3 linked regions of the Ovis aries genome follow. The protein of the gene in region 2 interacts with the protein of the main gene of each other region in a pairwise test. Links are inferred from orthologs where the notes say so. Each region holds a gene or a part of one and is shown on either strand. Other genes may lie near its edges. The genes, in order: KLF3, EHMT2 and PLOD3.

The links.
Region 1: the proteins of EHMT2 (region 2) and KLF3 interact in binary tests that used the Homo sapiens proteins (3 or more experiments, as listed by UniProt). The two-hybrid records come from large-scale screens. The link is inferred for Ovis aries from reciprocal best matches to the Homo sapiens genes EHMT2 and KLF3.
Region 3: the proteins of EHMT2 (region 2) and PLOD3 interact in binary tests that used the Homo sapiens proteins (3 or more experiments, as listed by UniProt). The two-hybrid records come from large-scale screens. The link is inferred for Ovis aries from reciprocal best matches to the Homo sapiens genes EHMT2 and PLOD3.

Annotation. Positions count from the first base shown.
Region 1 is NC_056059.1:58,663,337-58,674,241, forward strand, and holds part of KLF3 (Krueppel-like factor 3), read left to right. Parts: exon of another isoform or gene 1-1,524; intron 1,525-4,975; coding exon 4,976-5,462; intron 5,463-6,328; coding exon 6,329-6,479; intron 6,480-10,905. UniProt on the Homo sapiens protein: Binds to the CACCC box of erythroid cell-expressed genes. May play a role in hematopoiesis.
Region 2 is NC_056073.1:26,541,312-26,552,216, reverse strand, and holds the end of EHMT2 (histone-lysine N-methyltransferase EHMT2), read right to left. Parts: coding exon 10,829-10,905; intron 9,291-10,828; coding exon 9,153-9,290; intron 9,030-9,152; coding exon 8,915-9,029; intron 8,769-8,914; coding exon 8,667-8,768; intron 8,441-8,666; coding exon 8,292-8,440; intron 8,202-8,291; coding exon 8,058-8,201; intron 7,972-8,057; coding exon 7,736-7,971; intron 7,657-7,735; coding exon 7,474-7,656; intron 7,365-7,473; coding exon 7,282-7,364; intron 6,776-7,281; coding exon 6,669-6,775; intron 6,584-6,668; coding exon 6,461-6,583; intron 6,375-6,460; coding exon 6,273-6,374; intron 5,599-6,272; coding exon 5,494-5,598; intron 5,390-5,493; coding exon 5,235-5,389; intron 5,144-5,234; coding exon 4,976-5,143; intron 4,370-4,975; coding exon 4,225-4,369; intron 3,853-4,224; coding exon 3,775-3,852; intron 3,438-3,774; coding exon 3,322-3,437; intron 3,218-3,321; coding exon 3,131-3,217; intron 1,672-3,130; coding exon 1,593-1,671; intron 1,451-1,592; and 5 more. UniProt on the Homo sapiens protein: Histone methyltransferase that specifically mono- and dimethylates 'Lys-9' of histone H3 (H3K9me1 and H3K9me2, respectively) in euchromatin.
Region 3 is NC_056077.1:35,919,364-35,929,489, forward strand, and holds the end of PLOD3 (multifunctional procollagen lysine hydroxylase and glycosyltransferase LH3), read left to right. Parts: intron 1-37; coding exon 38-135; intron 136-364; coding exon 365-466; intron 467-670; coding exon 671-796; intron 797-1,002; coding exon 1,003-1,124; intron 1,125-1,349; coding exon 1,350-1,454; intron 1,455-1,569; coding exon 1,570-1,695; intron 1,696-2,008; coding exon 2,009-2,150; intron 2,151-2,239; coding exon 2,240-2,353; intron 2,354-2,540; coding exon 2,541-2,609; intron 2,610-3,125; coding exon 3,126-3,230; intron 3,231-3,746; coding exon 3,747-3,893; intron 3,894-4,325; coding exon 4,326-4,451; intron 4,452-4,795; coding exon 4,796-4,951; 3' UTR 4,952-5,241; downstream 5,242-10,126. UniProt on the Homo sapiens protein: Multifunctional enzyme that catalyzes a series of essential post-translational modifications on Lys residues in procollagen. Plays a redundant role in catalyzing the formation of hydroxylysine residues in -Xaa-Lys-Gly- sequences in collagens.

The sequences.
Region 1 (10,905 bases), on a different chromosome or scaffold from region 2:
ATGGTCTTTTTCTCCTTCATGCTCTAGTTTTCAAGTTCTGCTGATGCTTATAGAATTTAATTATATTGTTTCACCAAAATAGAGTTCCAGGCCTTACAATGAAGTTTCTTTGTTTCCACTCTTAAATCTTCACATTTTATCTTTCCTACCTTCATAGGGGAAGTATATGAAATCTGATTTATTGTTCCTTTATTCCTTTTCTCTTTTTCATTCTGCCTTTGACCTAAAAGGTTGAGGTCTTTGTTTATTCAGGTCAGTGTTCTAAACATGAAGCAGTAACATGTAAGATTGGTTTTTGCTTCAATTCCACATATGAATAAAAATATTTGACTCTGATGTACTCCCCTCTCTCACCCCTTTTCCCTAAAAGAAAAGAAGAGTAAAAATAATCTGCCTAGTTGGTATTTTGCTATAATTTAGAGAAAGTGAGGAAATGTCATTTTTCTCTTACTGAAGTATAAACCTTCATACTGTTCACTAAACCTTGTGCCTTGAGGCAGACTAGACTTTGGATTGTCGATCCTATTAAGATTTGCAAGAAGGGGGAGCAGAGTACCACCCACCCCCCCCATTCTGTGCTGTAGATCTCTGCTACTTACTGTCAATGTGTTGCTGGCAAAGCTATCAGAAGCTCCCTGAGTCTCCAATTTTTTTTCTTATTTATAAAATTGGAGATACTTATATGTAAAACATGAAATGGCAGGTGTATATAAAATGAACATGTAAAGGAGTTGTTTTTACCAGTACTGCCAAAGAGGTTGAAAACTAGAATTTAATTCAGGAAATGAGAAAATAAAAATTTTTAAAGTATCCCTTCATATTCTTCTGTTCCTAAAGGAAGATTACTTCTGAAGAAAGTGTATTTTTTTCTTTAATGAAAATTATCATCTAACAGACTCCTTACAGATTAAGAAGTACTTAAAATCGGTAGTCCCTCTGCCGGGTTCTAACAGAAACTTTTCATGACTTTTCTGAGCCTGGTAGAAAGAGAGCTTTCTACTTTTGTTTGCACAGAGGGGCATGACATTTGCTGTTTCCAAAGAGCTTGTTTATAAATGCACCGCGCCTTCCTGCACTTGGAACTCCACCCTTGGTATGAAGATTCCTTTGACTTGCCATCGCCCTGTCACGGACGGTCGCATTTTTTTTTTTCATATTAATGAATAGTGAAACAGAGACTCACCCACGTTTCATGCAGTCACTCCATCCACTTAAACCATCTTGTAATGGAAAACTTCACCAAAACTATTTCCAATAAAATGAGAAACTATTAATTCTCACTTTCATAGGAAGTGATAGCATTGGAAAATTATCTAAACCCTGTGCCTTTTTCCTCATCATACTTAAAAAAATTTTTTTTTTTTGTTTTTGAGAATCAAAAAATCATTATGCTGAGCCTGGTCAGTGGTAAAAACTTGCTCAGAGAGCGTGTTGATTCACACCATCCATTCACCCAGTGTTCTCTGAGCACTTGGGCTGGACCATCATCTCCCACTCCACTGACACTTAAATAACCCACGACAAGTAAGTAACCCAGGGCACGGAGGTGTGAACACTTGAATGCATGTTACCACAGAGGGAAAGAACCCTTCTTAATAGCAGACCTTTTGGCAAAGTAACCCCCTTGCTGCCCTTAGTGGGGGTGAGGAGTGGAGGAAACCTCTGCTTGAGTCGGTAGGGCCATGGATGCCCAGCAGGGGCCAGAGGACCTCTTTCTGCTTCATCACTATTTGTAGCTGATGTGGATTTTGCTGGTGCAGGCACACTTATTTGCATTGCTTCATTAGAACACAGGAATGCTCTGGAACAGAGAGGAAGCAACTATTACCAGTGTGTATCCACCCAAGGCACACACCCCAGGCAAGCCCTGTGTCAGTCCTTCTGCTGCGGAGAACCAGACTGTTGCAAGCTGATTGCATGGCTTATGTGCTCCACCCAAATGATTAAAGTGAACATGCCTCATAGAAGGTTCTGGTAAACATTGCTGTGAAATTTGCTAGTGAGACAGTTTGAAGAACCACATTTCTTCACCCTCAGGCGAAGCAGTCAGACCAGAAATAGTTAACACTGGACTTAGTTGTGTACCCCTGCACACAAAACAGCCCCCCTGCTTTTAGCCCTGGAGCCTTCCAAAGACCACATGTCCAGGGGACAGGAGGCATTCACAGGAGGGAAGACTCTCAGCAAAACTGTGCAAATGTGCATAATTTATAAAATTCAGCTCTGTGTGGCTGTTTCTTTATGGCTTGAGAAACCTGAGACGGTTATTAAGTTTGCAAATCCCCCAGGTTCTAAATTCCTGCTTTCCTTAAACTCACCCCACAGATAGAAAAATCCAGCAATGACAGCAAGAAACGTTTGTCCTCCTCTTGCTTCCTATGTAGTGGCCAATAACTTGGTATTAAAATCTAGGTCATAGGGGTGTCTTTGAAGACTAGGGCTGAAAATAAGGGAGAAGCTACATTTCTGTGAGTAGAAACAATGAACACTGCCTCCCATTTCCTGGAGTTTTTGTTTCTTGTACCAGAACTTTTGCCCTTTAGAAAATTATATCAAGCTGGCTAAACTTTAGAACTAGGAGAAATCTTTTTTACTCCTGTAGTTAATTACTTCCTGAAGCCCTCATTGTACATAATGTGTAATTTCTGTTCACAAACCTTGTGCCTCTTGCTTTTGCCTATTTTAATATTTCAATTTAAATCTATTGCATATTAATATTACTGTATATTTTGAGCCTCTCACCTTGTGTTGCACCTATGTGTGTCTTATTCTAAAGAACGGTAGAAGTAGTCTTCATTTGATGTTTGATACATAATTCAAAACTGTTTTTAAAAACAACAATTTGTTTTGTGTTTCCTGATTTTATATCCTCATATTCTTGTTTTTAAGCAGTATTATTAGTGAAAATTCTCCCTCCCCACGTTTAAACTGCATTTAAATAATTTACCAAATGTTAGTAATAAAAATTAGTGTTTTTATTCTATATCTCATCTAGAGCCCTGCTAGTCTAAGGCCAATATATGGCACCTTGAGTCATTCCCCAGTAACTCAGAATCTGCATTTTAACAAGATTCCCAGGTGAATCTGTGTGCTTAGTAAAGTCTGAAGAATACCTGATACAATCAAAGCCCACTGAAGTAAACACCTGTTGTATACAGCAGGAAGAAAAGACTCCGGGACCCCAGTGTGTGTTAAGTTCATCTCATAGGCATCTCATTGAGTCCAATTCTAATCTTAACGTCATAGCCTCCTAGAAGATGAGTATCCAGTACCTCCTTGACAGGTTTTGACATATCCTCATGACACTTGCATGTCTAATATTTATATAGTAATTTTTCTTGCCTTCTTTTATAGAACTGCTTTTGAACATAATAAAGTTATTTTGAAAGTGCAGGAATGGGATTTTAAAGCAGCACGGATGAGTCGGATGCATAGCCAGGTGGAGATTCACCCGATGAGGCCCAGAGAAGAAAGGGTGTGATCTCAGTACTAATCCCAGTCAAAACCACTGCTGTCTCACAGTTATTAATAACTCATATTACTGGCCACTGAAGGGGCCAGGGAGGTTCAGAAATTAATAGTGCATTTAAGCGGTTTAATTATAAGTTCCCATTAGTGGGTCTTCTCAGTTGCATTGTGAGCTAGTGTTGCTTCAGAATCACAAATGCATTGAATTTTAGAGCCAGGAGAGAGGCACAGTATGTTATTTTTCACCCTTACTATAAAGCATTCAAATATAAGTAATCCTCTGCAGGCAGACTTGACATGTTACCACTGAAAACATGTTCCCCTAAAATGCATGCAAGTAAAGGGTTTATGTTGAGTTTAATTTTTTTTTAGGCATTCTACAACAGACTTTAAATGTTTCTTAAGGAATAGAAGTAATTTTAATGAATTCCATGGCCAAGGACAGTACCCATAGTGGGCAATTACAATTGATTTAGATTTCAACCTGGTAAATGAGAGTTACATTATCTTGATATTGTAAGAAAGGAATGTATTTGAAGACAAATTAAGTCAGTTATGAACAGATCTTAGATTTGGGAGGGGACTAATTATCTCACCTCCAGTATCTTCTTAGGTTATCCCCCAGTCTCTTGATGAGGGAGTAGCAAGGAGGAAAGGTGAGAAGGCAAAGCCTCAGCTTGTATGCAAGTCCCTTCCAACATCACGTGTCCTTATTTAAGTCCTTATTTGCTCTTATAGTTCTGTGTCATCCTCGGATTTGGAGATTAAGTCATCTTCTGCAGTGTCTCAAATTGTAAATAAATCGTTGAACAAGTCGGGGCCAAGAACATAATCACCTTTGTGTGGGTGGCCTTCTGTATATAAGTGTGTGCGGTGACTAGCCATCCTGAGTTGCATGATACTGAGGCATTTCCTCAGATGTCGTACATTTAGCACTAAAGCCAGGATTCGTGGTCACCTTGGCATGGATTGGTCAGTGGCTGGAGAGCATCCCAAGGCACTACCACGTGGCTCTGTTTGTCCACGTTATCCACAAGCATATGGGAAATGTTCTGTGTCTTTATGCTCAGGTGGAGCACGCTAAAGCCAAGGAGGGTATTTCCTACCAATTAAGAAACCCCATCAGAAAAGCAATAAGGTTCCTTGGCTTGGCTGGTTCTTGGTGAATCCCAACTCCCAATGATAAGGCCCATAAGCCTTTTATAACCTGTTTTAGAATTTTTCCAGGCGTCATCATCAATCTTAACATTGGATATGGCTATCACTGTAGAATTAAACTTGAGATTTTTTTTGTCTGTGACATAGTTACCATGTTAACTTTAGTGCCTACATTTATTAGATCAACTCTTTCATGGTATTTGTGTGTGTGTGTGTCAAGCATATATCTAAATCCAAACCATTTATGAAAGTCCATGTAACTGAATGTGCCTTGTTGTGTATTTTCATCTTATTTCGTGTTTCAAGCAAACACACCTGTCCATTGATACGTTTCTGTGTTTTCTAATAGTCATACCCGTCTAATTACATGGAGTCAATGAAGCCCAACAAGTACGGCGTCATCTACTCCACGCCATTGTCGGATAAGTTCTTCCAGACGCCGGAAGGCCTGTCTCACGGGATGCAGATGGAGCCGGTGGACCTCACAGTCAACAAGCGGAGCTCGCCGCCCTCCGCCGGGAACTCTCCGTCCGCCCTGAAGTTCCAGCCCTCGCATAGGCGAGCCTCGCCTGGGCTTAGCCTGTCCTCCTCCAGCCCGCCCGGGAAGAAGTACTCGCCGCCACCGCCCGGTGTGCAGCCCTTCAGCGTGCCGCTGTCCATGCCGCCGGTGATGGCCGCAGCCCTGTCCCGCCACGGCATCCGGAGCCCGGGCATTCTGCCCGTCATCCAGCCCGTCGTCGTGCAGCCTGTCCCCTTCATGTACACCAGCCACCTCCAGCAGCCGCTCATGGTCTCCTTGTCGGAGGAGATGGAAAATTCCAGTAGTAGCATGCAAGGTACCTTTCTGTTCTGCAGCTCACCCACACTGCTACCGCCCCCGCCAGGAATCCGGACTTGTAGGTCTTCACTACCAGGGAGTCTGATTAAGGGAGCAGAGGAAGCAAGGGGCCAAGAGCTGCTGTACTCTGCAAAGGAAATATTCGACTGAGAGGCTGCCTAAGGCATTTCCTTTTTCTAAGTGTTGATCCTGGAAGAGCTCCCAAGAATCAGGCTGTCTGTTTAATGCCATGAAACGATTAGTTTCACTATGTACTTGTCAACTTCGGGATAACAAGAATCTTGACTTTACATTTTGCTTTATTGAATGCCAGCATGGTTCTAGGTACAAAAGGCTCCTAAGAAATATTTTTAGTCCAGGGCTCCCCAGCCTCCAGGATATAATGCCTGATGATCTGAGGTGGAGCTGACATAATAATAGAAATAAAGTATGTGATAAATGTAATGGGCTTGATTCACCCACACCCAACACCCCCCACCCCAGTCCATGGAAAAACTGTCTTCCACAGAACCAGTCCCTGGTGCCACAAAGATTGGAGATGGCTGCTTTAGACCATGTGATAGCTAATTGCTGTTAAAAACCAGCTTGTTTACTGATTGGTCAGAGGCAGCAGGTTGTTGTAAAAGGAGATAACCAAAAGTCATAAGGAAGAAGTCCCCTGGGGGCTATGTCTTAAAAGTCCAACTTCCTACATAGTGTTTGGTAACAAAGTAAGAATTTCACCCCCAGGTTCATTTCTGCTATCATTTTGCCAAAAGTAGATACTCACACATCAGTGTGGTAGCTAGAAGCTGTGGGATAAGCTTTTAAAGGCTGACATTGGTAAAGTGTACATAGAGTAACTTCTCTATTTTTATTTTTTAGTACCTGTAATTGAATCATATGAGAAGCCTATATTGCAGAAAAAAATTAAAATAGAACCTGGGATCGAACCACAGAGGACAGATTATTATCCCGAAGAAATGTCACCCCCTTTAATGAACTCAGTGTCCCCCCCGCAAGCATTGTTGCAAGAGTAAGTATACTGAGGTCTGCCCGGCAATTGCATAGCAGCGTGCATCTCGGAACTGGAATGGAAGCACGAGCTTCCGGCGAGGGATGTGGTGTGGATTCCTAGGACCGCCTGGTCGTTTGGGGCAGCCCCTGGGTCAGATGGAATCTCTCCAGAATCAATGTGCTCTGTTCAACTCCTTGTGTCACTTTTCAGTAAATCGGTCACCCTACAGTTTGCCAACTTTACCCCTTAAATCATTTTTATCCTGTTTTTTTTCTGTCCTTCCAGACTATGTGTATATAGTTCTCCCATCATCTTTATCCCAATGTGGATTGGATTTGGTGTTCTAGATACCCCACTTAAGGTTGGATCCTGAAAACTTTATGGGATCACTCATGGTCCTTCCCGTTGTCAGTTCTCATAAAGCACACTGTTTCTGTGATGGGATATGGCTTTGATCAAAATTTTCAGGCCAACCACAAAGCCCGGGAAAGATTCTCCAAAACCCAGTCCGATGGCAACAGAAAGTAGACGATGTTGCTCAGAGAAGCTTCTCCAGTCTTTTTCATTATGTGTGCCCTAGAATGTTTGGTCTGCTTTAGAAATGCCATCTAGTAGAAAGTTTACACGGTATCCATCAGTATCCAGGCACCTGAACAGTGGTTTAACTTGCTGTCATGTGAGGGTGTCACACACAGGCTAAATAACATCATTATTGTGGTTTGCACTATCCTTGACTTCTCCCAAGGTTTACACTGGGGGCTGAGCTTGCAGTAGGTACAGACATCGTCTTTGGGCCCAACATCTTTGATCCCAGCTCTACTCTCCACCATATGTGTGACCTTGGCCTAGCCACTTAGTCTTTTGCCCCTGCTCTCTCTTTATTTACATTATTGGTTATAATTATTTTTTCTTATGTTATAGTCCTTTCAACATTGAGTTTAAGGACCAGCTGCCTAGTACAGAGGAAGTACAACAGTTATTGTCTCCTCAGACTCCCTTCTATTACTTCCTTCCCATATCACTTTTTCTCCAGCTTTTCTGCCCCCCTTTCTACTTTATCTTTTGCATTCTTCTCTCCCTTTCATGACAAGTTCTGTAACAGAATATGAATTATCTGGTTTTAGAACAGCTATTTTCTGGAACTTCAAATAAATTCTGGTTGTATCTACATTCAGTCCAAGTAGGTGCATTCATAATAGCTCATGGGTTAATTATCATTTGAACCAACTCAGTTTGGTTTTTTTTTTTGGAGGGGGGGAGAGTTCATCCACTCCCTGATACATGAGAAGAAGAAAATGAATCTTCTGCCCCAGCTGCACCAGTAGGGAGACCCTCTGATGGTCTTTTCATTGTTACCCTTCACAATTGCATAGCACTCCTTTCCCACAAAATTTAAAAAAAAGAAAAAGAAAAAAAGGAACTTTTCCAAGTGTTTTCAAAGGAGTTATTTCATTCTCCCAAAACAAGCATGTGGGAGTCAGAGCAAATAGAGAACTGATGAGCCAAGACATGGTGAGTCTCCTGTAATCACACCATTAACAGCAGCAGAGGGGACCTGGGCTGATCTCCTTCCAGCTGTGCGCTCTTCCTGCCATGTTTAGATCATATCTAGCCAGTTGCATCTGCTTCTGTACTTGAGTGACAGGAAAAACTGACCAACCAAAATGGGCGGCTTCCCTGGTGGCTCAGTGGTTAAGAATCCACCTGCAATATAGGAGACATGGGTTGGATCCCTGGGTTAGGAAGATCCCCTGGAGGAGGAAATAGCAACCCACTCCTCTTGCCTGAAAATCCCATGGACAGAGGAGCCTGGTGGGCTACAATTTATGGGGTCACAAAGAGTCAGACACAATTTAGTGACTAAACAACAACAGCAAACCAAAATGGACACAGCTGAATTGCCTCTTTTTTAGAATGACATATGTCTCTGCAAGGTAACGGGTAACATGGCTTAGCACTTGTAATTGTTCATAAACAGATGATAAAAAAGATGCTCTAAAGCCATCTACTCACAAAGGGAGGGGTCCATTGATTATAAGGGGTTATTCCAAAGTATAGGTTATTATGAATTTACAATGTAACACATTTCAGAAGAAGAATATTGGAATACGCCTTCAAATATTCTTGCTCCGAATGCTGCTGAAAGCATCTCTTTTTTAAAGTAATGTTCTTTTGATGATCTCAAGTTAAATGGCTTTTAATGATTAATGGGTAATGTGCTTCTTCTAATGCTGATCGAAGAATGCATTTTGCCTCTCAGAAAATTGAACAGAGTAGCCACAACTGGAACATGCACTCTTCAAGTAATTCTCTCACAGATGTGATTAAGTAATGTCTTGGAGTATGCCCAGTAGCAGCCCACATAGGAAACCAGCTAGCCAGGAAAGAATCACTGGAAACCAAATGCCTGGTACCATTTCAATGAGGCAGCGCCAATATTTGCCTTAGGAAGCCATTTCTTTTCAGGGGAGGACTACAGCTTTGAAATCCATTTTGCTTAATCATAAAGTTGTAGCTTTAGAATTATTCATAAAGTCACTCAGATTCCTTTTGTTTTTTATTTACATGTATGAAAGTGTATTTAGAACAAAATCTTGAAGATCAGATTTCCCCATTGAGTTGTGTACATGAAATTGTAGCAAACTTCACAGGGATGAGCTTGGACTTCCGCGATGGTCCAGTGGTTAAGAACCTGCCTGCCAATGTAGGGGACACAGGTTCGATCCCTGGTCCAGGAAGATTCCACATGCTTCATGGCAGCTAAGCCTGTGGGCCATAACTACTGAGCCCACAAACCGTAGAGCCCAGGTTCCACAATAAGAAAAGCCACCTCAGTGAGAAAGCTCTTGTACCACACCTAGAGAGCAACCCTCATTCTGTGCCTGGAGAAAGCCTGTGAAGACCCAGTGCAGCCATGAATAAACAGTGGAAAAATAAAACAGAGGGATCAGCTTAATTCAAAACAATGACCAGGTCTCTGGTATTTACTAGATATTCTAACTTCTTACTTATAAAGATATCAAAACAACCTCCTTAAAAATAAGCCATGAAGAGAGCAAGGATGAATGAAATCCCAAGATCCTGAGCCTCAACCTGTACCAATGTCTGGCCCTCTCAAGATGGACTGCTGACCCCTCTCGAGAGTATTACTGCCCTCCGATGCTGCCAGCATCTCTGGACCCTGGAGTAGAGATTCACGGTCTGGTGTTAGGACATCCCCCCAAAATTCCTCAAGACTAGACAACTGTAAAGACGAAGTTTACAAGTGGATTTCTGAACCTTGAAATAGCAACAGCTACCGTTGAGCAGATTTTTCATCTGGACCAAGTGTTAAGTGCTTTGTGTGTGTCACTCACAGCAGCGTTCTGAGATCCTATTAATATACCCATTTTATAGAGAGGAAACTGAGGCACAGAGTGTAACTACCTTGCCAGGGGTCTACCATCAGTGGTAGAGCTGGGATTTAGAGCTGAAGTTCACAGCCTTTTAGGGTACCTTTTTTGAGGCTGACATTTTCACAAAGTGAGTAACTGAAGCAGTGATCATAATTACTACCCAGAAACTATTAGATTCCCAACCTTTAAAATCTAATAACTGGGAGAGACTTCTGAACTCATCTGGGATTCTCTCCCAGTGTCCCAGAAGCACATAAGATACATTTAACTGTTCCTATTTTTCCTTCAGCACTTTATTTCCGAAAGTTCTCTTAAGATGAAAAGTTTCAGTCAGTGACATTAAAGTTGAAATTTTAAAGTAAACTGATAAACTTTTTTTATTGAAGGATCTTAATAGTGGACTTTTATTTAAAAAAAAAAATACTGTCCATAAATCTCTTCACTTATCTATTTTCTCCATTACTTATACATTTATATAACTGAAGTCCTTGTTCCCTACCCCACCCCCACCCTCCACTAGTTCATGCTCACTTTTCCATGTATCTAGACTGGCTAAACTTCATTCTTCGGTATTGTCCCTCTAAGCATCAGGGTAGGAATGTAAAGTGATACTCAAAACTGACAGTTTTAAAAAAAATAGAAGAAAATACAGTTTTCTTTGCTAATAATTGAGAAGTAAGGTCACTCGATAAAATGAACCTTTTTATTCTCTTCCTAGTCACTTCTTTGGGTGCCTGAAAAAGTTGTTGATAAGATATGTATTTATTAACATATTTTTACCAAGATAAATGAGTTTTATTTCAGGAACTAAGTCTTTATTTTCCTTTCCACCAGTCTTTCCTCCATACCCCAGCCCCCCGCCTGTGTTCTTGTATAACATTTTAAGAAATTTAGATTCACATTTAAAAGGAAAAGAAGTCTTTTGTCCCAGTTAGAGACCAACTACATAAGCTTGTAATGTATCAAGTAATTAGTCATTAGGGAAGCGAATGGACAGATTAGAACTTGTTAATTACTTACATCAATCAGCAGGAGAAGCTTGAGAAAAC
Region 2 (10,905 bases):
TCACCTGCCACCAGCCCCGCCCTCTGCACACGTCACAGCCCCTCCCCTGCCTGTGGTCCCCGACACACTCGAGTTCCTTCTGGACTCAGCTGAGCGCTGGAAGCTGGAGTGCGGGAAGGAAAGCCTGGGATGTGGGTCAGGTCAGGGCTCATGGTCCGTGGCCTGAGGAACTCACACACTCTAAGAAAATCCTTTAGAATTCTGTAAACTACTTCCAACTGTAATACAGTCACACCCACGCCCTCCTACCGGAAGTGTGGAGGTAAGACCTACCCTAGACTAGACTCTGCCCCACAGTAATTCCCCCCATAACCTTCCCCTTCGCCTGGAGGGCTATCCACACCAGCCACACCTGCCCAGCCCCCTTCCCATCCCCTTTCTGCCCCTTGGACCCACATTCCCTCAGGCTGTGTGTGCTTTTCCGTCAACAATTGTCCAGTTTATTATAAACCCAACATTTATTGAGAACAAAGGAAACCAATTAGCACAGAGGGTCAATTTCATCAAACTTCAGTTGAGGGTGGGGAACGGGGGTTGGGGGGAGACTTGCGGGGGGAGGGGTGGCCAGCCCTGAAGTCACCCTCCCAGGAAAGAACCAGCTCTGGGAGACAGGGGCTGTCAGACCTCCAGGGCCTGGCTGGGAGCTGGCTGTGAATGTGTGAAGAGGTAAGGGAGAGAGGAGACGGTAAAAGCCCCCAGGCGTGGGCTGTGGGCAAGCGGCAGAAGTAGCTACGGAGCTGGTGGCCGTCCAGGGGTGGGACAGCAGCTGTGGTCCGATCTCAGGGGTTGACGGGGGGCAGGGAGCTGAGCTCAGGCAGCAGCTCAGGGTGTGGGTCCAGGCGGGCCAGGCGGCTCTGCTCCAGGGCAATGGCCTCAGCCGAGTGCTTGCACTTCTCAGAGCCACACTGGCAGGTGAAGTACTTGCTTTTGATGTCCCAGAAGCGGTCACCATAGTCAAACCTGTCAGAGGAGCACAAGAGATTTGTGGAGTCCAGACCCACTCCAGAGCACCCACTCCCATCTTCAGAGGGGCTCTAAGCCCTCCTAGGTTCAAATGCCCTGGCAATGCCGGGAGCTTGTTAGAAGTGAAGGCTCTCACGACCCACCCCAAACCTACTAACTCAAACTCCGTGAGGTCCAGGACTGTCTACAGTGACTTCAGAGAGGCTCTGCTCTAATCTATGCCTGGAAACCAGGCACTTGCCAGCCTTCTGCTTTTGGTCTGGGGCTTGCTACATCTCCCACACCCCTGGCTGAGCCTCAGGAGGCCTCACCCCAGCTCCTCCCCGGCCCGGATGTCTCGGGAACTGAAGAAGGCGATGCGTGGAAATCTCAGGTCCTGGTGCAGCATGAAGACCCGGACGGGGATGATGTTGGGGTCACACAAGTGGTTGATGAACCGGCTGATGTTGCCGTAGTAACGGGCATCGATGCAGTACACCTCTCCATCCTGAGGGGGGAGCATCACTCATCACATCTACCACCACCCTGCTGGCTGGCCAACCTCCTTGCCCCACTGATCACCTGGTCCCTCCTCCCCAGGTTTCCATCTGCTGCTTGAGAGGAGGAGGGCAAGGGGGTCTCCTGCCCACCTTATTGTCCAGGTCGAAGAGATAAGAATCGTCCTCTCTCACATCAGCCTCGGCATCAGAGATCAGTTCTCCGACATACCTGTTGGGCAGGAAGTGGTGGTTCTGGAGGTGAGCAGGGAGTTACTGGAAGTAGGCTCCAGGCCCTGCCTCTCCCCACAGCCTGGGAGTCCTCTTCCACCGTTTGTCAGCTGCCCTAGTCACTGTCTGTGAATCTCACAGATCCACATGGCTGGGGTGGGTGACCCAAGGATAGGAGACATGACCTGGCAGGGAGGGGGTGGGAGGTCCCCATCCAGAAGGGGGATCAGGAAGAGGAGCCTGGGGACGCAGACATGTGAGAGTACACATAGGACAAACTCTGGGCAGTTGGGGTCCCCCCGGGACAGCTAGACCAACAGGCAGGACCGACAGTGTGGGGCAGGGGTGAGAAGTGTGGGGCCATTGGGGTAGCAGCGGTGGGGAAGCTAAAGGGAAGGGTCAAGCTGCACCAGAGGATGATTCGGGGCAGCAGGGAAATGCCGAACCTCTGGGGTGAAGGGATGAGCATCTTGGCAGTGGGCCTGGGTGGGGAATCTGTTCAGGTGTGGACGTGGGGAGGATGAGGAAATCACCCAGCAGGTGGGGCAAGGTCGGGCTGAGGACAGGAGAGAGGTGAGAACTGCAGGAAGGGATGCAGCCCCAGGAGCTCTGAAGAGCTGGGGAGGAAGCACTCACGTTTGGAAAACAGAGGGAGAGGAGCTGGTGAAGAGGAAGAAAGGATGAGTTGCGGGTAAGGGTAGTGTCATGGGAGCCAGAGCTAAGGGGGTGGCAGATGCCAGGAGAATGCAGACTGAGACACAGGGGTCGGGGTGTGTGGACTGACGAGAGGAAGCAGAGGGAGAGGACAAAGGCAGATCTGGGCAGGGATGAGCAGGGAGTGGATGGGGGTGAAACAGACCTAGCAGGAAGAGGCCGCTTATCTGAGTCAAACTGAGAGATGACATGATGGAGGAAAAATGAATGGTTTCTTAAATAGCCACATAGGGCTGAATGACTTTTTTTTTTTAAGCCAAAGAAGATTAAGTTTGAAGACCATGAGGTAAAAGCTGGGCGACATGGAGAAGTTATAGATGCTGGGAAGAGAAAGAACTGGCAGACGGACAGGCCCGAGGCCCTTGAGGAGGTGGACAGAAGGGTAGTTGTTATCACCTCCATTTTGCAGACAAGAAGGAGGAGGCTCAAAGTGGTTGTGAACTTGGCCGAGGACTCCCAGTGGCAGAATGGGGCTTAAACCCTGGTCTGTTAAAACTGGGGCTTTCCCCAGTTGAGAAGGGCAGGGGAGAGGGAGTGTGAGGCTCAGAAAGACACTGATGGGGAGGGAAAGACGCAGGCCCTGTGGCCTGGGCAGAGTGGAGGCTCGGGGATGGCGGTCAGAGGAGGCTGGCCAGGTGGACCCATTAGGGAGGAGAGCAGAGAGGGATGCCTGGGAGTCAGCCATGGCCCCACACCCAGCCCTTTGCCCCCAAGAGCCAGAGTACCCCTCCCCCTCAACCACTCACTCGCAAATGAAGGTACCCTGGGGAATGGTCTGCAGGGCACGGACCCCCCAACCCATCTTGGCTGTTCGGTAGAGCTGCAGTCGCACCCTGGTGGTGGGAGAGAGGATGGTATTGAGGGGGGTGACGTGGAAGCTTCCCAAAGGAGAGAAGGGAGAAAGGGGGATGAGGAGGGCCGAGGGGCAGGGACTCACTTGATGCCGCTCTGGACGACTCTGTTCTTGCAGTTTCTCCAGCAGGAGCATGCCTGGTTACACTCAAAAATCAGCGGGGGCTCGATCTTATTAAATTCCTGGAGCAGCCGCCCATCCTGGGGTCGAGGGAGAGGAGGACAGTGGTTTTTGTGTGATGCTCCCCTCAGCTGCCCAGGACTCCCAAGACTTCACCGAAAAATCCACCACTGACCCCACCCCAGACTCAGGGAGGCCACGTATACTCTGAGTTCATCCAACAGGAAACCCACAACCATCGCCCTTGATCTGCGTATACCACGTCTCTGGCTTGGCAACGTCCTAGGAGTCCTGGGTCTCGCCCTGCTCTCTCTGCTACTTTCCCCACAGGACAGAAGGCAAGGGACGAGGCCCCACAGGGTTGGTGTCAGAGGCCAGCTCCGGAGGAGTGGATGGGCAGATGGCCAGGGCACGCACCTTGTCATACCAACAGCGGATGCTGAGCTGGCCACACAGGCAGTTGGAGCTGGAGCAGTCATCCACACACGTGCAGTGCTGGGGCGGGAGGTAGGGTCAGCTCAGCCCTCAGAATCGGCCCAGACACCTCGGCTTACCCCCTCAAGCCCCCCCAACTGCTGTCCTTTCTGTAGGGTTCACACTGTAAGGCAGTGGTGGTAATGGTCCCAGGATGCGGGGGAATCAAGATGCTGCTGACAGGGGTATCTCTAGGGCCACCTTGAGCCCATGCGACACCTTCATGTGTCCTAGAAAAAGGTCCCCTTCCCCAGGTGGATACAAGCCCACACCAGAGGTCCCTTTCAGCCCCACCACCTTGGCCAGGCGCCCTTGTTGGCCCACAACCTGCCCGGCTCCACTTGGTGGCTCTGGGTGCCCCTGTGGGAGTTGGTCCCAGGGCCCCACACTCACCTGTAGGTGGGTGATGTTGCGGTCAATGTTCATGGTGGACGTCTCGCAGTTCTCTGAGATGTACTTGTAATCCTCGGGGCAGGGCTCCCCGTCCACACCATTGACACAAGGGATGGGGACGTTCTCATAGCCCCGAGCCACGTCCCTGGCAGGAGGGGAGATGGAGCTGGGTGGCTAGAGCATGGGGTGAGGGCTTCCCTAGGAGCAAGGAGAGGGCTGGGGGAGGGGAGAGGGTGTTCTGGGGGTACCAGGTCAAAGGCAGGACACTTTGTTAAAAATCTAAATTTCAGATCAGATAATCAGGAAATAACTTTTTTAGTACAGCGCTTCCCTGGTGACTCAGACAGTAAAGAATCCACCTGCAATGCGGGAGACCTGGGTTCGAACCCTGGGTTGGCAAGATCTCCTGGAGGAGGGCATGGCAACCCAGTCCAGTATTCTTGCCTGGAGAATCCCCTGGACAGAGGAGCCTGGCAGGCTATAGTTCACGAAGTCACAAAGTTGGACAGGACTGAGTGACTAACACTTTCACTTTCATGTCCCAAATATATTGCTCAGAACACTCTTAAACATTAAAAAAGTATGCGTTGCTCACCTGAAATTCTAATTTAGCCAGATGTCTACCTTTATTTGCTGTATCTGCCAACCCTAGCTGTGTATGTTGCAGGGGGGACGGAGGTGGTTCTGGGGATTCCGAGGCTCCAAGGGGCCTGGGGAGGGGGCTCTGTGTGCGTAGAGAGCCCAGGCTCACCGGCAAATTATCTTCTCCGTGCGGATGGCCCGATTCCCCACCCCGAGCCGGAGCTTGCGGTTGAGCTGGAGGGCAAACCACACGTCGGAGCGCTCGGGGGTCAGGTCCCACGCCGTGTCCCCTTCCTTGTTCCGCAGCTCAGGGTTCGCCCCACGTGACAGGAACAACCTGGGAGGGGACAGGGAACCTGTGGGGCACCTGGCCGTGAGAGGTGGCAGAGGCGTGTGTGGGGGTGTGTGTGCGGGGGCGGGGGGCTCACAGCACGCAGTCGTGGTAGCTCTCCCGGGCCGCAATGTGCAGGGGTGTGTCCCCATGGTAATTGACAGCATGGAGGTCACAGCGGGCGTTCAGGAGGACCTCGGCGATGGCAGCGCTGCCGGTGAAGGAGGCCCAGTGCAGGCAGATGTTCTCCTCCTGTGGAGGCGGAAGGGGGTGAGGCTTGAGCCCAGCCGGCAGCTAGCTCAGGTGCAGGGCAGGACTGAGCCCGCCTCCGGCATCCCCACCAACCCTTCACTCACGTTGTCGGTGAGAGTGACATCCGCGCCCCGTGTCAGAAGCATGCGGATCACTTCTATGTGCTTATGCTCTGCAGCCCAGATGATGGGGGTCCACCCGCCGCTGTCCTGGGGGCGGGGAGGGAAGGGCCCTGCTCACACAGAGTCGCGGCTCCACCACCCATAGGCAGTGGCGCCCCGGGGCAGGTATTCAAGCTCTCTGGGTCTCAGTGTCTTCATCTATAAACTGGGACTAATAGTGTCTACTGCTCATGACTGCAAAGTAATTTTTCTCTTTCTAAAAAATATTTCCTAGATCTACCCACTCCCAAGAGAAGCAGGGACCCCAAGAGCAATAACCACCTTCAGGTACACAGATTGTTGTAGTCTCCAAAAAAATATTTCCCACTTAAAGGGATCAGAGTTTCTTAGAAAGTGGTAGAGTCTGAGTCTGGCGCAGGACAGCTGCTGACAAGGATGCTCTCAAAGGCTACTGGATCAGTTCAAAGCCACAGAAGCCTGTGGCAAGGGGCTTCTTCTGGACAAAGGATGGAACGGCTCAAAGATCAAGGAGAACACAGACTAAAACACCTCCAACAGGTGAAAAACTGAGTTAATACTGGCCAGTTCCAGACATTAAGGCAGCAAGTGAAAACTGGTAAAGAAAAACAAAAAGAACCAGAAAAGAATGAAGAGAAATACAAGTGAAGCAGAGAAAAGAGATAGGAACAGGCTGGAACAGTGTGACATGCAGGGAAAGGGTCAGAGGTCAGATGAGGGAGAAAGGGGACCAGGCTGCTGACCTGGGCGTTGACGTCCACCTGTCCTGTGCTCAGCAACAGGCTGACCATCTCCAGGTTCCCAATTTTGGCGGCGTGGTGGAGGCAGGTGGAGCCGTCTTCCTCCTGGGGGAGATGCGGGCAGATGAGTCCTCAGGCTGGCACCTCAGGCCCGGCCCCTGAGCCCGGCCTGGGCCTGTGTGGCCACGCACCTTGCTGTAGACGCAGCCCCCGCGCTGCACCATGTAGCGAGCCACCTCCAGATGGTTGTTCACCACGGCCTCCATCAGCGGCGTCCGCTGCTGCTTGTCCACGGCATTGATGTTGGCTCCAGCCTGCATGGAAGGTCTGTTGGCACCAGGGAGGGGCTGAGGTGGGGTGGGGTGGGGTGCTGTGGTCCCAGGTGGGGCCCACGCTGACCTGTAGCAGCACATGGCAGATCTCCACAGAGCCCTTCTGGGCAGCCGCGTGCAGGGGTGTGCGCTTGCTCTGCTGGTCACTCTGGAAGTTGGGGTCCAAGTTGTCCACTGTGGGGAGAGCCCACCACACCGGGAGAGGGAGGGACATGCGGTGAGCAAGCGTGGGGGTGGGTGGCATCTCATTCAGGAAGGCTTCTCAGGACCCCAGGCCTGGTCAGGGGTGCCTCCTGGGCCTCCCCTGTGCTCACATCCACCGTGGCACAGCCTCACGAGAGTAGACGTTAAGAGCACCAGCTCTGCCCAAGTTCAAATGGCCCCAGCCCCTCAGTACCCTGTGCACTGGGCAAGCCAATTCACCGCTCTGAGTCTCCACTGGGAAGATACAAGTGAGTGAAAGTGTATAAGCTCTCAGAATAGGGCCCAGGGCCTCTGCGTTTATCGCCACCACAGTCCCCATCATCACGGGCGACCTGTGTGTCTGCGTCCCCTACCAGCCTCGTCCTTCAGGGCAAAGACCATGTCCCTCGCGGCTGCCCTCCTGGCTCCGAGCCCAGGGACGGGCACACAAGCAGCGCGCAGGTAGGGTCTGCTGAATGAGCGAGGGCGACACTCACACAGCATCAGGATCACCTTCTGCAGCTCCCCTTGCTTTACGGACAGGTACAACTGCCGGGGGTGGAACCGGAGCTTCTTCCGCCTGCCGGGGAGAGGGGCCCTCAGATTCAAGTACCAGTCCCAAGGGCCACGGATCCACGCTCCCAGCCCCAGTCCCAGCGGCTGCGCCCACGCGTGCAACCCCTACTCACCTCTCCGACTCCTGGATGACCAGGGCCTTCTCCAGGGCCTCCCGGCCTGGCCCTGGTGGCAGCCCTACAGCTGAGAGGCAGCCCCCGTTGGGCAGGGCTAGGGAGGGCCCTGAGCTGTCGATGGTGTCGGCCAGAGGGTCACAGGGTGGACGCCGAGGCTCCCCCTGCCCCCGCATCCGGGCACTGTGGAAGAAGGTGCGAATGTCTAGGGCAGATGGGGACCACGCAGGGAAGAGACAGAAGGCAAGGGCGAAGCCAGTACCTGGGCTGGGAAGTGTCCGCTCTCCCGGGGGCATCCTGGGCCAGGGGTGGGGGAGCGGGGGCCGCAGTGCCAGCTGGTGGGGTCACCCCATCCCCCCGGGGGATGGTCACCTCCTGGGCCTCAGATGCGTCCTCCCCACAGTGGGGACAGAAGACCATCCCATTTAGCTGGGACACACAGGCCTTGTGGAAGCGGTGGGCCACACGGAAGTCAGGGTGACACTCCAGGAAGGTGCCCTAGGGGCAAGGAAACAACGCAGTCAGGCTCCGGGAGCCCCTGCCCCTGTGGGGCATGCCGCCTGGCTGCCCTGCTGGTCACTCACCGCCGTACAGAAGTAGCCACAGCCGGGGCAGCAGTGATGTTTGACCATGCGTGCGCGGTGGGTCTCACAGAGCACCATCAGGGCCACGCGGCTGGACGGTCTCATGGTCTCCCGCTTGAGGATGGCAGCGTTGCAGCCGGACAGCTGTGGGCGGCGAGGCCGGGTGACAAGAGGTGAGGCTGGGCTCCGGGGCCGGCTGCCCTGGCATCTCGCCGGCCAGCGCCCCGGGCCCACCTCTCCGTCCACGCTCTCCGTGGCCATGCACTTGTGTCCCGCTCTCTCGCTGATGCGGTCTATCTTGGGGGCCTCCATGCGGCAGCTGCAGAGGGGCAGCTCCTCAAACCCGCGTTCTGTCTCCAGCGAAGATGTGTCATTGGACACCCCTTGGATAGAGGGAGCAGGGAGTTGAGGGCGGCCCAGCCCCTCACCCACCAGGACCCCTCATGGGGCCTCTCACCCCCACCCTGACTTTCCCTCCATGCTCCAGAACCCCCAAAGTCAGGTCATGGACACCCCAGCTCCAGCGGGGTCCCCCTCCTCCCCATCCCCTCTGGCCCTGAGGGCACCCCTAGTGGCTCCCTATCCCGGCAATCGGCAATTGGCAATTACCAGCGTGGTTGGGAGAGAGGGTCCCCTCGCTGGGCAGCTCCAGGGACCCCAGAGGGACCTCCATGTACTCACTGGGGCCTGAGGAGCCCACACCATTCACTCCTGACACAGAGACAGAGAGAGTGAGAGTGCGAGCTCACAGGTGCCTGGACGCGGGGGTGCATGCGGAGCGTGGGTGTGCATGCACGCTTTCTGGGGGCCGGGAGGGGGCTGGAGGAGGGGACCCCAAAGCAGAGGGGCCTCCTCACCTCGTGGCTCCTTGGCCCTCGGAGGCTCTCGTTTCCGCCGTTTCCGTGATGGCTTCACCCACGGGCTGTCCTTCCGCCATTTCTTCTTGGCTTTGCGGCGGCCACTGGAACCACTCTGGGCAGGAGGAGGAGCATTAGGGTGGCGGGTGGCCCCCAGTCCGTAACCCCCTCCTTGGAGGACTCAGACCTCCGGTCCTGCAGTCTCCACTCCTCCGGGGCCGCCGGCCTCCCATCCTACCCTGTCAGACTGATTGCCGGACTCTTCATCTTCCTCCTCTTCTTCCTCCTCCTCCTCCTCCTCTTCTTCTTCCTCCTCTTCCTCCTCCTCTTCTTCCTCTTCCTCACTCAGTTGTTCAGCCAGAGCTTCAACCTCAGACTGGAAGAGAGGTAAAGCTGTGGCCCCCACCCCAGGCCACAGCTCGCTCTTGGGGAGAACTTGGGAGAGAGGCAGAGTAGGACACATCCCCCTGGAACTCAGAGAAGGAGGTGTGATCAAGAAAACCATAAATCCCCAAGGATGGTTCCCTGGTGAAGATGACTGTGGACAGGAGAGGAAGGAAAGGCTGGGTACAAAGACGGGCTATGGCGTGTCATACAGCAATGAAAAACACAGTGCTATGGTGATATGCAAAAATGTGATGATCTTGCAACATAATAGTAAGCAGGGAAAAAAAAAAAGTCGTTGTTCCAGATAACAAATGTATAGTATGAGATTCTATGAAGTTCATAAACACGTGAGACTGAAAACACTACACGAAAAGCTAATCAGAAATGCCATAATGAAATCAGGGTGATATCGTCTGAATCCACTGATCTTAACTTCACTAATAAAAGACCAAATGTCCAACACCTGATGATACAACAGGAAGCACCTGCTATCAAGTCTTCCAAACTAAAAAGAAAAATAACATGCCTCTGAGTCTGATCACACTTCTAGATCTATGAGTTTATAGGAAGAAACACTGGACAGAGAATTACATGTCAATTCCCAATCAGCCGACTCCTAAGTGTGAAGAATTCTGCAGGACAACCGACTTGGTTCCTTTAACAAACGAATGGCAAAAAAAATATTTTTTTTAGAAGGCAGGGAACCTATATACCAAGAGAAACCTAAGACAAATAATCAGATCAATGTGTGGATCTCTTTTGAAACTTGACAAACGAAAACCCATTTATGAAACAACTGAGAAAATGCGAAGATTTATTGGTAGCAAGGTGATGGGATTAAAGAATCATTTGTAGGAACTTCCCTGGAGGTCCAGTGGTTAGGTCTCCATGTTTCCCCTGCAGGAAGCATGGGTTCTATCCCTGGCTAGGGAACTAAGATCCCTGTAAGCCACATGATTCGGCCAAAAAAACCCCAAAACATCTGTAAATCTTTTGAAAACAGAAAGAGGTCTTATGTTTAGAGAGACTTATGGAAATGTTTCTAGATAAAATGAAATGGTGCCTGGCTATTTGCTTTGAACCAATCCAGTAGGTGTGGGTATTAGGGAGGAAGAGATGAGTCAAGATCTGCAGTGTATTGCTAATCCTTCAAGCTGGGTGATGGCCACCTGGGGGCTCACTATTCTATTTTTTTCTGTGTATCTGAAAGATTCCATGATAAAACAAACAAAAAATAAAAGGCAAGACTAAGCATTATGTTGCAAAAGAATAAACAAGCAAACAACAAATAAACCATAAAACAGGTTGTTAAATCCCAAGTCCAGGGTGGTGATTATCACTGGAGAGGGACAAGGGGATGGTATGGGGTAGAGCACACACTGGAAATAAGTTATAGATAGTACGGGGCAGTGAAACTAGTGGGTGTTCAGAAAAGGAAAGAGAGGAAAAAGGGGGGCAGGAAAGACTGGACAATGAGCCCTGGATGCGGGGGCAGAATGGCTGGGAGCGTGGCCGGCTCCCTCTCACCTTGCTGTCAGAGTCCACCCGCTCATCCACAGAGTAGGAATCATAGTAGAGGCTGAAGTCATCCCCCACCACCGTTT
Region 3 (10,126 bases), on a different chromosome or scaffold from region 2:
GAGTAAGGGAGTCTAAAGCCTGGACTTTCTTCCCCAGATGAGGTGGTTTTAAAGTTTGGTCGGAATCGAGTGCGTATCCGGAATGTGGCCTACGACACGCTTCCTGTTGTAGTCCATGGGAACGGTCCCACGAAGGTGCTCCAATCGCTTCTCCCCTCAGCCCAGCCCCTGCCCCAGTCAGTCCTGATCCCACAGCCCCCCAGTTTCCTCCAGGCCTTCCGAGCCGTGAGACCTCCCCGGCCCCGGAAGCGCAGGAGCTGGAAGAGGTTCTCTGTGCCCACGCTCCCCCTGCCCTTCTCCGGTCCCTGCCCCCACCTCCCTCACCCCTGGCCCCACCTCAGCTTCTCACCGCCTCTCCCAACAGCTCCAGCTGAATTACCTGGGAAACTACGTCCCCAACGGCTGGACTCCTGAAGGAGGCTGTGGCTTCTGTAACCAGGACCGGAGGCCACTCCCGGGGGGGCAGGTGAGGAGGGGGTGCCAGGGTGGGTGGGAGAGTGCTCTGAAGCAGAGGGTACCAGGAGGGTGCTGGGCAGTAGGGGTGGAGGCAAAGCCCCTGGAGATCCCCCCGCCTCCCCACCCTCCACTAAACTTGGCAGGGTGCGGAGGACAAACTGGGTAGGGGAGCTGGGCTTTCCTCTGAGACCTGTCACATTGTTGAATCTTCCAGCCTCCCCCCCGGGTACTTCTGGCTGTGTTTGTGGAACAACCTACCCCGTTCCTGCCCCGCTTCCTCCAGCGGCTGCTGCTCCTGGACTACCCCCCCGACAGGGTCACGCTCTTCCTGCACAACAACGTGAGACACCCCGACTGCCAGCCTCTCCCTCCCAAGGGACCTCCCCACCCCTGCTGCCCAGATCAGACTTCTCCCCACAGCCCAGACTCCTTCCTGTAGCCTTTCCTCCTGCAGGAAGTGTTCCTCCCGCCCCGTCCTGTCCCTTAGATGCCACCTTTCTGCCCTCCCGGCGTCCCCACTCTAGTCTCTTCTCCCCGCACCTCCAGGAGGTGTACCACGAGCCCCACATCGATGACTCCTGGCCCCAGCTCCAGGACCACTTCTCTGCTGTGAAGCTGGTGGGGCCCGAGGAAGCCCTGACCCCAGGAGAGGCCAGGGACATGGCCATGTGAGTGAGCCTCGGGCGGGGCGCCTGCACCGTTCCCTCCCTTCCCCTGCTCCCCACGGTCTTTTTTTCCTCCCTCCTGACTTCCAGCTGGTCAGCTTCCTTCTACTCCCTTTCCCTCCTCTCTCTTCCACGGGTTGCGGGTCAGGGGAGTTCCACCCCCTACCCAGCCCCCGCCCCCCCCCCCACCTGCTCCTGTTCATCTGTGTTTTGGTCTGTTCCCTCCAGGGACATCTGCCGGCAGGACCCCAAGTGTGAATTCTACTTCAGCCTGGACGCTGACACCGTCATCACCAACCCGCAGACCCTGCGCATCCTCATTGAAGCAAACAGGTCTCTCTCACCGGGCTTGGCCAGAGGGCCCCCAGATTAGTCCCCAGGGAACCTCACCTCCCGCTCTGGCCATGGGGCTTGCCTCCTCCCTGCCCTCATCTGCGCTTGTCCACAGGAAGGTCATAGCGCCTATGCTGTCTCGCCATGGGAAGCTGTGGTCTAACTTCTGGGGGGCCCTGAGCCCCGACGAGTACTACGCGCGCTCGGAGGACTACGTGGAGCTGGTGCAGAGGAAGCGAGTGTGAGTCTTGCAGCCTCCCCCAACCCAGGAGCCCTCCCAGACCCCTCCATCCTGCCCCAAAGGCCCGAACTCGGGGGCCCCATGTGGCCACCACGAAGGCGTGCTGGGTTGTGGGGTAGCTAAGGACTGATGGTGGAGCCGGGTGTGAGAGGGTTGTGACCAGCAGGGCTTCCCTGGGGAAGCAAGAGGGACCTCGCAGCTCTCAGCTGCCGAGGGAAGGGGCTCCAGGGGTGAACTGGGCAGGACGGTGGGGGGGGGCAGGGGGCCGCCCGCAGGGGGCACCCACCTAGCTGACCCCTGTGTGGGCCTCCAGGGGCGTGTGGAACGTGCCCTACATATCCCAGGCCTACGTGATCCGTGGGGAGACCCTGAGGATGGAGCTACCCCAGCGGGAGGTGTTCTCGGGCAGCGACACCGACCCAGACATGGCCTTCTGTAAGAGCCTTCGGGACAAGGTGAGGGGGCCTGGGGCTCCTGGTGGGGGCGCTGGGGGGCAGCACGCTGGCTCCCCATCGCCCTCCTTACACCCTCTGCCCACTGCCAGGGCATCTTCCTCCACCTCAGCAATCAGCATGAATTTGGCCGCCTCCTGGCCACCTCCCGGTATGACACGGACCACCTGCACCCTGACCTCTGGCAGATCTTTGACAACCCCCTGGTGAGTCGGCAGCCCCTGGCTCAGATGGTTCGGGCCTTCCCTGAAGGGGAATGCCACGCCCCGGCCCCATCACACGCGCGTGCGCACTGGGCAGGGTCGCCTGCCGCCTGGGCAGGGGTCCTCCCAGGTGGGAGCAAGTGGTGTGAAGAGGGCAAAGGTCAAGGAGCACCCCCCCACTCTCCCCTAGGACTGGAAGGAGCAGTATATTCACGAGAACTACAGTCGGGCCCTGGAAGGGGAGGGGCTCGTGGAACAGGTGAGCCCCGCTCAGGACCCCGGCCCAAGGGGATGGCCGCTGCCCCTGGGGCCCACCACCTGGATGAGGGGTTCTCCCAGGGTCCTTGCCCAGGTGCCTGGGGGTTTTCTGCTCAGGCAAGACAAAGGCAAGGGCTGAGTTGATAGGCATGCAGCCCCCAGCCCAACATTCATCCCAGTGGTCCTCCCTTGTCCGTTGGGTGTGTTGGTGTATGGGTGAAATGACATTTTTTAAAACGAGGTTGAAAACCACTGTCCCAGAACCCAGGGCTCCAGCAACCGTGCTGTCTGTGCCGAGTTCTGAGCACTGCTCTCACCTTCTCTGGCCGCATCGGTCCCCTTCCTGACTCCCCCGACCAGCCCATCCCCACGCTCAGCTGCCCGTCCCTCCACGTTCTCTCCTGTCCTGGCTTACCTTTCTGCTCCCTGCTTTCTGTCTCCTCCCACTGGCTGCCTGTCCCCTTCTGGAGCATCACCCAGCCCTGTTTTCTTCTTCCCCTGCCCCGTCCTGACTCAGCCCTGCCCAGACGTGTACTGGTTTCCTCTCCTGTCTGAGCAAATGTGCGATGAGCTGGTGGAGGAAATGGAACACTACGGCCAGTGGTCAGGAGGCCGGCATGAGGTGAGGGGCCTGGACCGCGGAGGAGGGGGCCCCCAGGAGGAGGGAGGGGGCATTTCCCTGATTGAGGGAAAATGGAATCTGGAGAGTGGGAACAGAGAGGGGGTCCCCGAGCAGGAAAAGGCAGACAGGGGGCACCTCTGTATTCTTTCATTCCACCGTGCATTCAAGAAATACTCCCTGGGCAGGTCCTTAGACACCAGCCCCTGACCTGGACGTGCAGGTGGAGCTCTGCCCTCCACAGCCCCACCTGCCGTCAGTAGCAGCAGGGAGCTAGCTTCTGAAGTCTGTGATGGACAGCCTCAGTGCTGCGGGAGTCACAGGTGGGAAACTTGACCCAGATGCGGGGGGACCGAGGGCTTCACAGAAGAGGTGACATCTTCGCTGAGACTTAGAGGAAGGAGGTGTGAGTCAGCTAAGACGTGGCGGAGACTTCCAGAAGGAGGGAGCGCAGACTTCCAAGGCCTGGGAGCAAGAGGAGGAGAAGTTGGCACCACTGCGTCAGCTCTGTACCCACAGGACTCTAGGCTGGCGGGAGGCTACGAGAACGTGCCCACTGTGGACATCCACATGAAACAGGTGGGCTACGAGGACCAGTGGCTACAGCTCCTGAGGACGTATGTGGGACCCATGACCGAGAGCCTGTTCCCCGGCTACCACACCAAGGTGGGCCACTGCACGCCACCCCTGCTCCCTCCTCCGCCTTCCCACACCTGTGCTGGCTGGACGGCTCCACACAATGCCTTTTGGCCTGTGAAACATTTAAATAGGCCCCATAGAGTGAGATCCGGGCTCCCCTGGTGGCTCAGATGGTAAAGAAGCCGCTTGTGATGCAGGAGACCTGGGTGGATCCCTGGGTCGGGTGGATCCCTGGGTCGGGAAGATCCCCTGGAGGCGAGCACGGCAGCCCACTCCAGTGTTCTTGTCTGGAGAATCCCATGGACAGAGGAGCCTGGCAGGCTGCAGTCCATGGGGTCGCAAAGAGTCAAACACACAGAGTGAGACCTTGCAGGAGGGAAGCTCTGGGGGAGCAGCCCCCAGGGAGCAGTGAGAACCCTCCCGGCCATCCCCCCAGCCTCTCCTCCCCTGTGCCCGCAGACCCGGGCGGTGATGAACTTCGTGGTCCGCTACCGACCGGATGAGCAGCCCTCTCTGCGGCCGCATCACGACTCATCCACCTTCACCCTCAATGTCGCCCTCAACCACAAGGGCCTGGATTATGAGGTGAGTCCCTACCCTCCACTCAGGGTTCCCCCGGGCCCCTCCACACACACAGACACACACGCACTCCCCTCCCCCAGGCCCTGTGTCCAGCCCCCTCACAGGCACGGTCACCTCCCTGCCCCTTGTCTGCCCTCGTCACATCTCCCAGTGACCTCTGGGGTCATATTCTGGACCCCTTCTGGGCTGGCTACCCCCTGTGTCCTGTGTCCCCCATCTGCCGATGCTCACCCCTCTTGTCCCCTCCCTCCCTGATGCCCAGTTTGGCCTCTCTCGCCTCGGGGCAGCTCACCACCCAGTCCCCACGTCTGCGCACTCTCCAGCCCCTTCCCCTCTCGTCTCTCCAGGGAGGTGGATGCCGCTTCCTGCGCTACGACTGTGTGATCTCGTCCCCCAGGAAGGGCTGGGGGCTCCTGCACCCGGGCCGTCTCACCCACTACCATGAGGGGCTGCCCACCACTCGGGGCACCCGCTACATCATGGTGTCCTTTGTCGACCCCTGACACTCAGCCACTCTGCCCAGCCTTCCGTGCCATCGTGCCTTCCCGCGCCCTGCCTCCTGGGGCGGGGTGGGTGTGGACTCCTCGCCTCCTGGGTATATGGGGTCTGTGTGCCTGGGACTGAATGTGTCGCCTCGCTGCCCACCACACGGCCCTCAGGAAGCTCAGGGAGCCCCCTGTCCTGTTCCCCGGTCCCCAAGGGCTCATGGGGACAGGACCTCTGGGGGTTCGCTACATGATAAATTATTGTTTCTCAGTCTCCCTCTCAATAAAGGAGGGTTTGTAATTCTTGAGCCCATTTATTGTTTCATTACCTGTGGACCCCTTGTCCATCCCACCACCCAGGGCAGAGGGGACACCGAGGGTGACCCCAAAGGAGAACTGAAAAGGAGAAATGACAGAAACGTGATATTAGAGCAGAGTGGGAATCTAGAAGCTTCCTTGTCATTCCAGAGCTCGGGAGGGGTGTGTTGGAGGCCAGACCCAGAGAAGGACTTCCCCTGTCAGGATGAGATGAGAGGCCCCCACTCCCGCACAGCCCCCAAACTGTCGTCCCCTATTCTCTCCTCACCTGATGGCATCTTCTCCCATGCAGAAAGGATGAGAGAGGCACAGCCCTGAGCTAGGGTCCAGGGATAGTGCTGGGACACGCATTGTAGGAGGGAAGACAGGGTGGAAACTTATTGAGAGCGCTTGGACCTCAGCTTTTAGTCACATGGTATCAGGAGAGGGGAATCTGGAGGGTGAACCCAAGAAAGCTTCCTGGAAGAAGGGGAAGGGAAGCAGCCTTGAAAAAAAAAAAAAGACCTCCTAGAGCTGGTTTTGCCTCTAGTCTCAAGCATCAAAAGCTTGCAGAGACCCCTGGAGGTACCCTGAGGACAGCAGAGCAGGCCCCTTTAGCCTGGTCCTCCCCAGCCTTACACCAGCTGCCTTCCTGTGTTGATCTCCCAATGTTCCCTGGCGGACGCCTTTTAAAAATCAAGCACCTGTCCTAGGACATTTCCAGCTTCTAACAGTCCACTTGCATCCACAGCTAAATTGTCCTTCCTTCCTCCTACCCAGATTCCCAGGAAAACTTCATGCATGAAACCATCCTTCCATCCTTCCTGGACCCCTGGGTGGGTCACCTTCCCACGTGGACTGAGCGTCTCTCTGGCTAGACTCTAAAGTTCATCTCACCCAGGCCCCCACCACCCTCATCACTTGCCCTGTGATGCGAGTGGGCTGAGCAGGGATAGGAGGAAATATCCCTCTTAACAGAAGGTCCCTGGTCAGTGAAGCTGCATAGGTGTGAGGCCAAGGACAGGGGCAGAAAGGGTGTGTCAGCCTAAGCCTATCCTGTCTCCACCCTTCATTCACAGAGCGTCTCCCATGCGCTGGGCACCCATCTTGACGGCTGCAGTGATGAGCACAATTTTTCTGTTGCTCACGGTGTGTGGGAGACTTTGATCAGAAAATTGCCATGATGGGAGACTTGCCTGGTGGTCCAGTGGTTAAGACTTTGCCTTCCAATGCAGTGGGTGTGGCTTTGATCCCGGACTGGGGAGCTAGGATCCCACATGCCTTATGGTCAAAAAAGCAGAATGTAAACAATAAAAGCAACATTGTAACAAATTCAATGAGGACCGTAAAAATGGTCCACGTTAAAAATCATGGTGATGGAGAGAAAGTATTCTGTGCCAGGAGAGAATGTGATGCGTGACAGAGGCTTCTGACAGTTGCGTGTCAGACTTCCGTAAAAGAAGTGACATTTAACGTGGCTCAGGACTTCCCTGGTGGTCCAGTAGTTAAGAATCCACCTTACAATGCAGGGGATGCTGGTTCGATCCCTGGTCGGAGAACTAAGATCCCACATGCCACAGAGAAACTAAGCCCATGCAGCTCAACCCCTGGCTCCTCTGGACGGGGAACTCTTGTGCCAGAACTATAGAGTCTGTGTGCTGGAATGAAAGGTCCTGCTTAACACAGCCAAATGAATAAATTAAAAGATAAAGAAGTGACATTCAAAAAAAAAAAAAAAAAGACATGTCCTACCAGTGAGGAGGGTCAAGATGTAGGGGTGGGGAAATCAGCATCATCATAAAATACTGAGTTTAAGATGGGCTCAAGGATGTTTGTCCAAGATGGGAAATAGCGCCAACATGTTGTAGGAACTAGAAACGAGAAGTGACCTTTAGGGACTTCCTTGGCCAGTCAGTGGCTACGACTCCCTCTCCCCAGTGCAGGGGGTCAGGGTTCAATCCCTGGTTGGGGACCTAAGATCTCACAGGCTGCACTGTGTGGCCAAGAATTTTTTAAAAGAAAAGTAATCTTTAAAAATTGTATCAAAATGTTTTAAAAAGATTTTTAAAGTGACATTCTAGGAATTCCTTGTAGGTCCAGTGGTTAGGACTGCCCTCTTATGGCCAAGGGCCCAGATTCAATCCCTGGTCACAAGGCAAGGCGCAGACAAAAAAAATAATTAATTTAAAAAGGTGTCAGTCCCTGACCTGGAAAAAGTGGTTGCTCTGCAGCCTCTAGCCATGTTGAACAGGGCCATAGTCACAGTGAGGACTGGCCCGGCCGGCATGGATGGAGTGCTCACAGCCCAGGGGGCTCGCACTTGCAGGGGCTCCCCAACCCTTAGCCTTTCCCATAAAACCCTTCCCTCCAGAGGTCTCCCCACAGAGGCCTAAGTTGCTCCTCAGGGAGTAAATCCTCCTGCAGGTCCTCTAACCAACAGGGGCCAGGCCTGGGTGACAAATGGGGAGTCCTGCTGTGGAGGGTACACACACACACGGCAACTTCCACTGGCCCAGGACGCTGCCAGTGTGCTCATCACAGGGAGCCAGTCCTGACCTCCACAAAGTCCAAACACCTTCCTCACCGCCAGACTCCAAGCCATGTCCCTGGTCTCCCCTTTCGGCCCTATTGATCCCAACCCTGTGAACCCAAAGAGCTGGTTAACCCTCCCTTTCCAGAGCTCATGATGGTCCACTGTGCAGGTCAGCAGAGGGAGCAGAAAAGAGGGCAGAGCCCAGGTCAGGGGTCAGAGCCAGGGGTTGGGCCAGAAGACAGAAAGCTTCAGAGCCGCAGTGGCTCCTGTGTGACTCCCCTCTACAGAAGGCCAGCCGCCTCCACCGGCCTCCAGGTGAGTGCCCTCCTGCGATGGATCGTCTCCGTTTTGGAGCTTGGTGAGTCCCTGAAGCCCTAAGGACCCCTGGGTCTGGCTCTCTGTTTCCCGATGCCAAGGTGGGAGGGAGGCGAGGCTGGGATCTCTTGCCAGGGCTGGGGGGGTTCCTTCAAGAGATGAGAAAGATGTAGGTTGGACAGATGTACCTGAAACGATGGAACAGGGAAGGGGGTTAAGGGGAGAGCTTGGACTTAAACCTCTGGAGTCAGAGTCCTCACACCCCTTCCCATCACCTCCAGCCCAGGAGTGCATGACTGCCTTATTCCTTGTACTCCTGAGCCAGGCTTGGATCCTAGAATTCACTACCTGGATGGGCTCTATGGAGACAGAAATACACCTTGGGCAGGAGGCCGTGGCTGTGCCTGGGTCCCCAACTGGGCCACGTGGAGACATTTCTGGGACCACCTCCCCATCTCGCTGAGGCACTGTGGAGCTCTGTGCTGGGTGGGAGCTGGGCTTCAGGGTAGACCCTGGTCCCAGGGTAGACCTCTGGGGCCGTCACCCCCAAAGTCCAAACTTAGAAGCCCCAAACTGGTGTGCACCCTGTGTCCGCAGCTGGAGGCACCACAGTGTTGGGTCCCTCCTACAACTACCTCTTGGTGGAACCTTCAGCACCTTCAGCACACAGACCAACGGCTTCTCCCTCCTCATCCCTGGCCTCGAGCCCCACCTGCTCCAGCTGCCCCATCCCGGCCATCTTCCTGTCTTCCGGGACTACATCCTGTGTGCTGGTGAGCAGGGGAGCCCTGGGTCTCAGGACCCCCAGTCCCTGCGGTCACCTCCTCCCTGCCCTCCTTAGCCTCTGGGGGTGCCTGGTCCCAGCTGCATCTCCCAGTGCCTTCCTCCCTCTTTTCAGGAGGACTCAGATGTCAGTCTTCAGGCCTCTAACTGCACTGAGAGGTGAAGGTCCATGTTTGGGACCTGAAATTCTGGCAGCCAGCCTTGTCCCCAGGCTGGTCCTTGACACTTGGGCCGACCGTGAACTCTGTCCCAGTTGATCCTGGGGGCCGGGAAGAGGAGTTGCAGCAGCCACCTCTCTGGCCTCTCTCCGCCCAAGCTGGGTCCCCAACCCCAGTGCAGCGAACCCCGAGGCTCACCCCTGCGCTGGTGGATGGCTGAGTGTGGCCTCTCTGCAGCGGCTCTCCCAGCTTTCCAAGCGCACAGGACACGCTATGGCGTCCCCAGCCACATGCACCTCCTCCTCAGCTAGGCAGCCCCCAGCCCGCAGTGGTTCTGTTGTAGGAAAGGGGACCCCTTCCAGGGCCCGAAACTGGGCTCTTGTCTAACACTCAGAAATGAATTGTCTGAGGAGACACATCTGCTGACAAAGCAAGAGATTTTATTGGGAAAGGGCACCCGGGTGGAGAGCAGGAGGGTAAGGGAACCCAGGAGAACAGCTCTGCCACATGGCTTACAGTCTCGGGTTTTATGGTGATGGGATTAGTTTCTGGGTTGTCCTTAGCCAATCATTCTGACTCAGAGCCCTTCCTGGTGGTGTACACCTTATTCAGCCAAGATGGATGCCAGAGAGAAGATTTTCTGGGAGGTGGTCGGACATGTGGTGTCTCCTTTTGACCTTTCCTGAACTCTTCCGGTTGGTGGTAGCTAATTAGTTCCGTGTTCCTCAGCAGGACCTCCTGTCATAAAACAACTCATGCAAATAGTTACTATGGTGCCTGGCCAGGGTGGGTGGTTTCAGTCAGTGTGCTTCCCCTAACAGTTCCCTCGGTGGATGTCATGGGGACTGAAATTAAAGGTGGAAACCACCTGTGCTGTTTGTGCTTGGCTGGAATATCGACACGCCTGGCTGCACCTCCCAGTGGCCTAGACACTGTCGAAGACCCACAGACACACCAGGATCCGCTGGCCACACTAGAGATCACAGAGTCCCTAAAGCACCTGGGGGTGGGCCTTGGTGTCACGCCCCCAACTCCTCCCGCTGACTCCAGTGTGCTCTGCGAAGTGAAGGTTCCTTTTGGGGGCCTGAAATCCTGGCTGCCCTATCA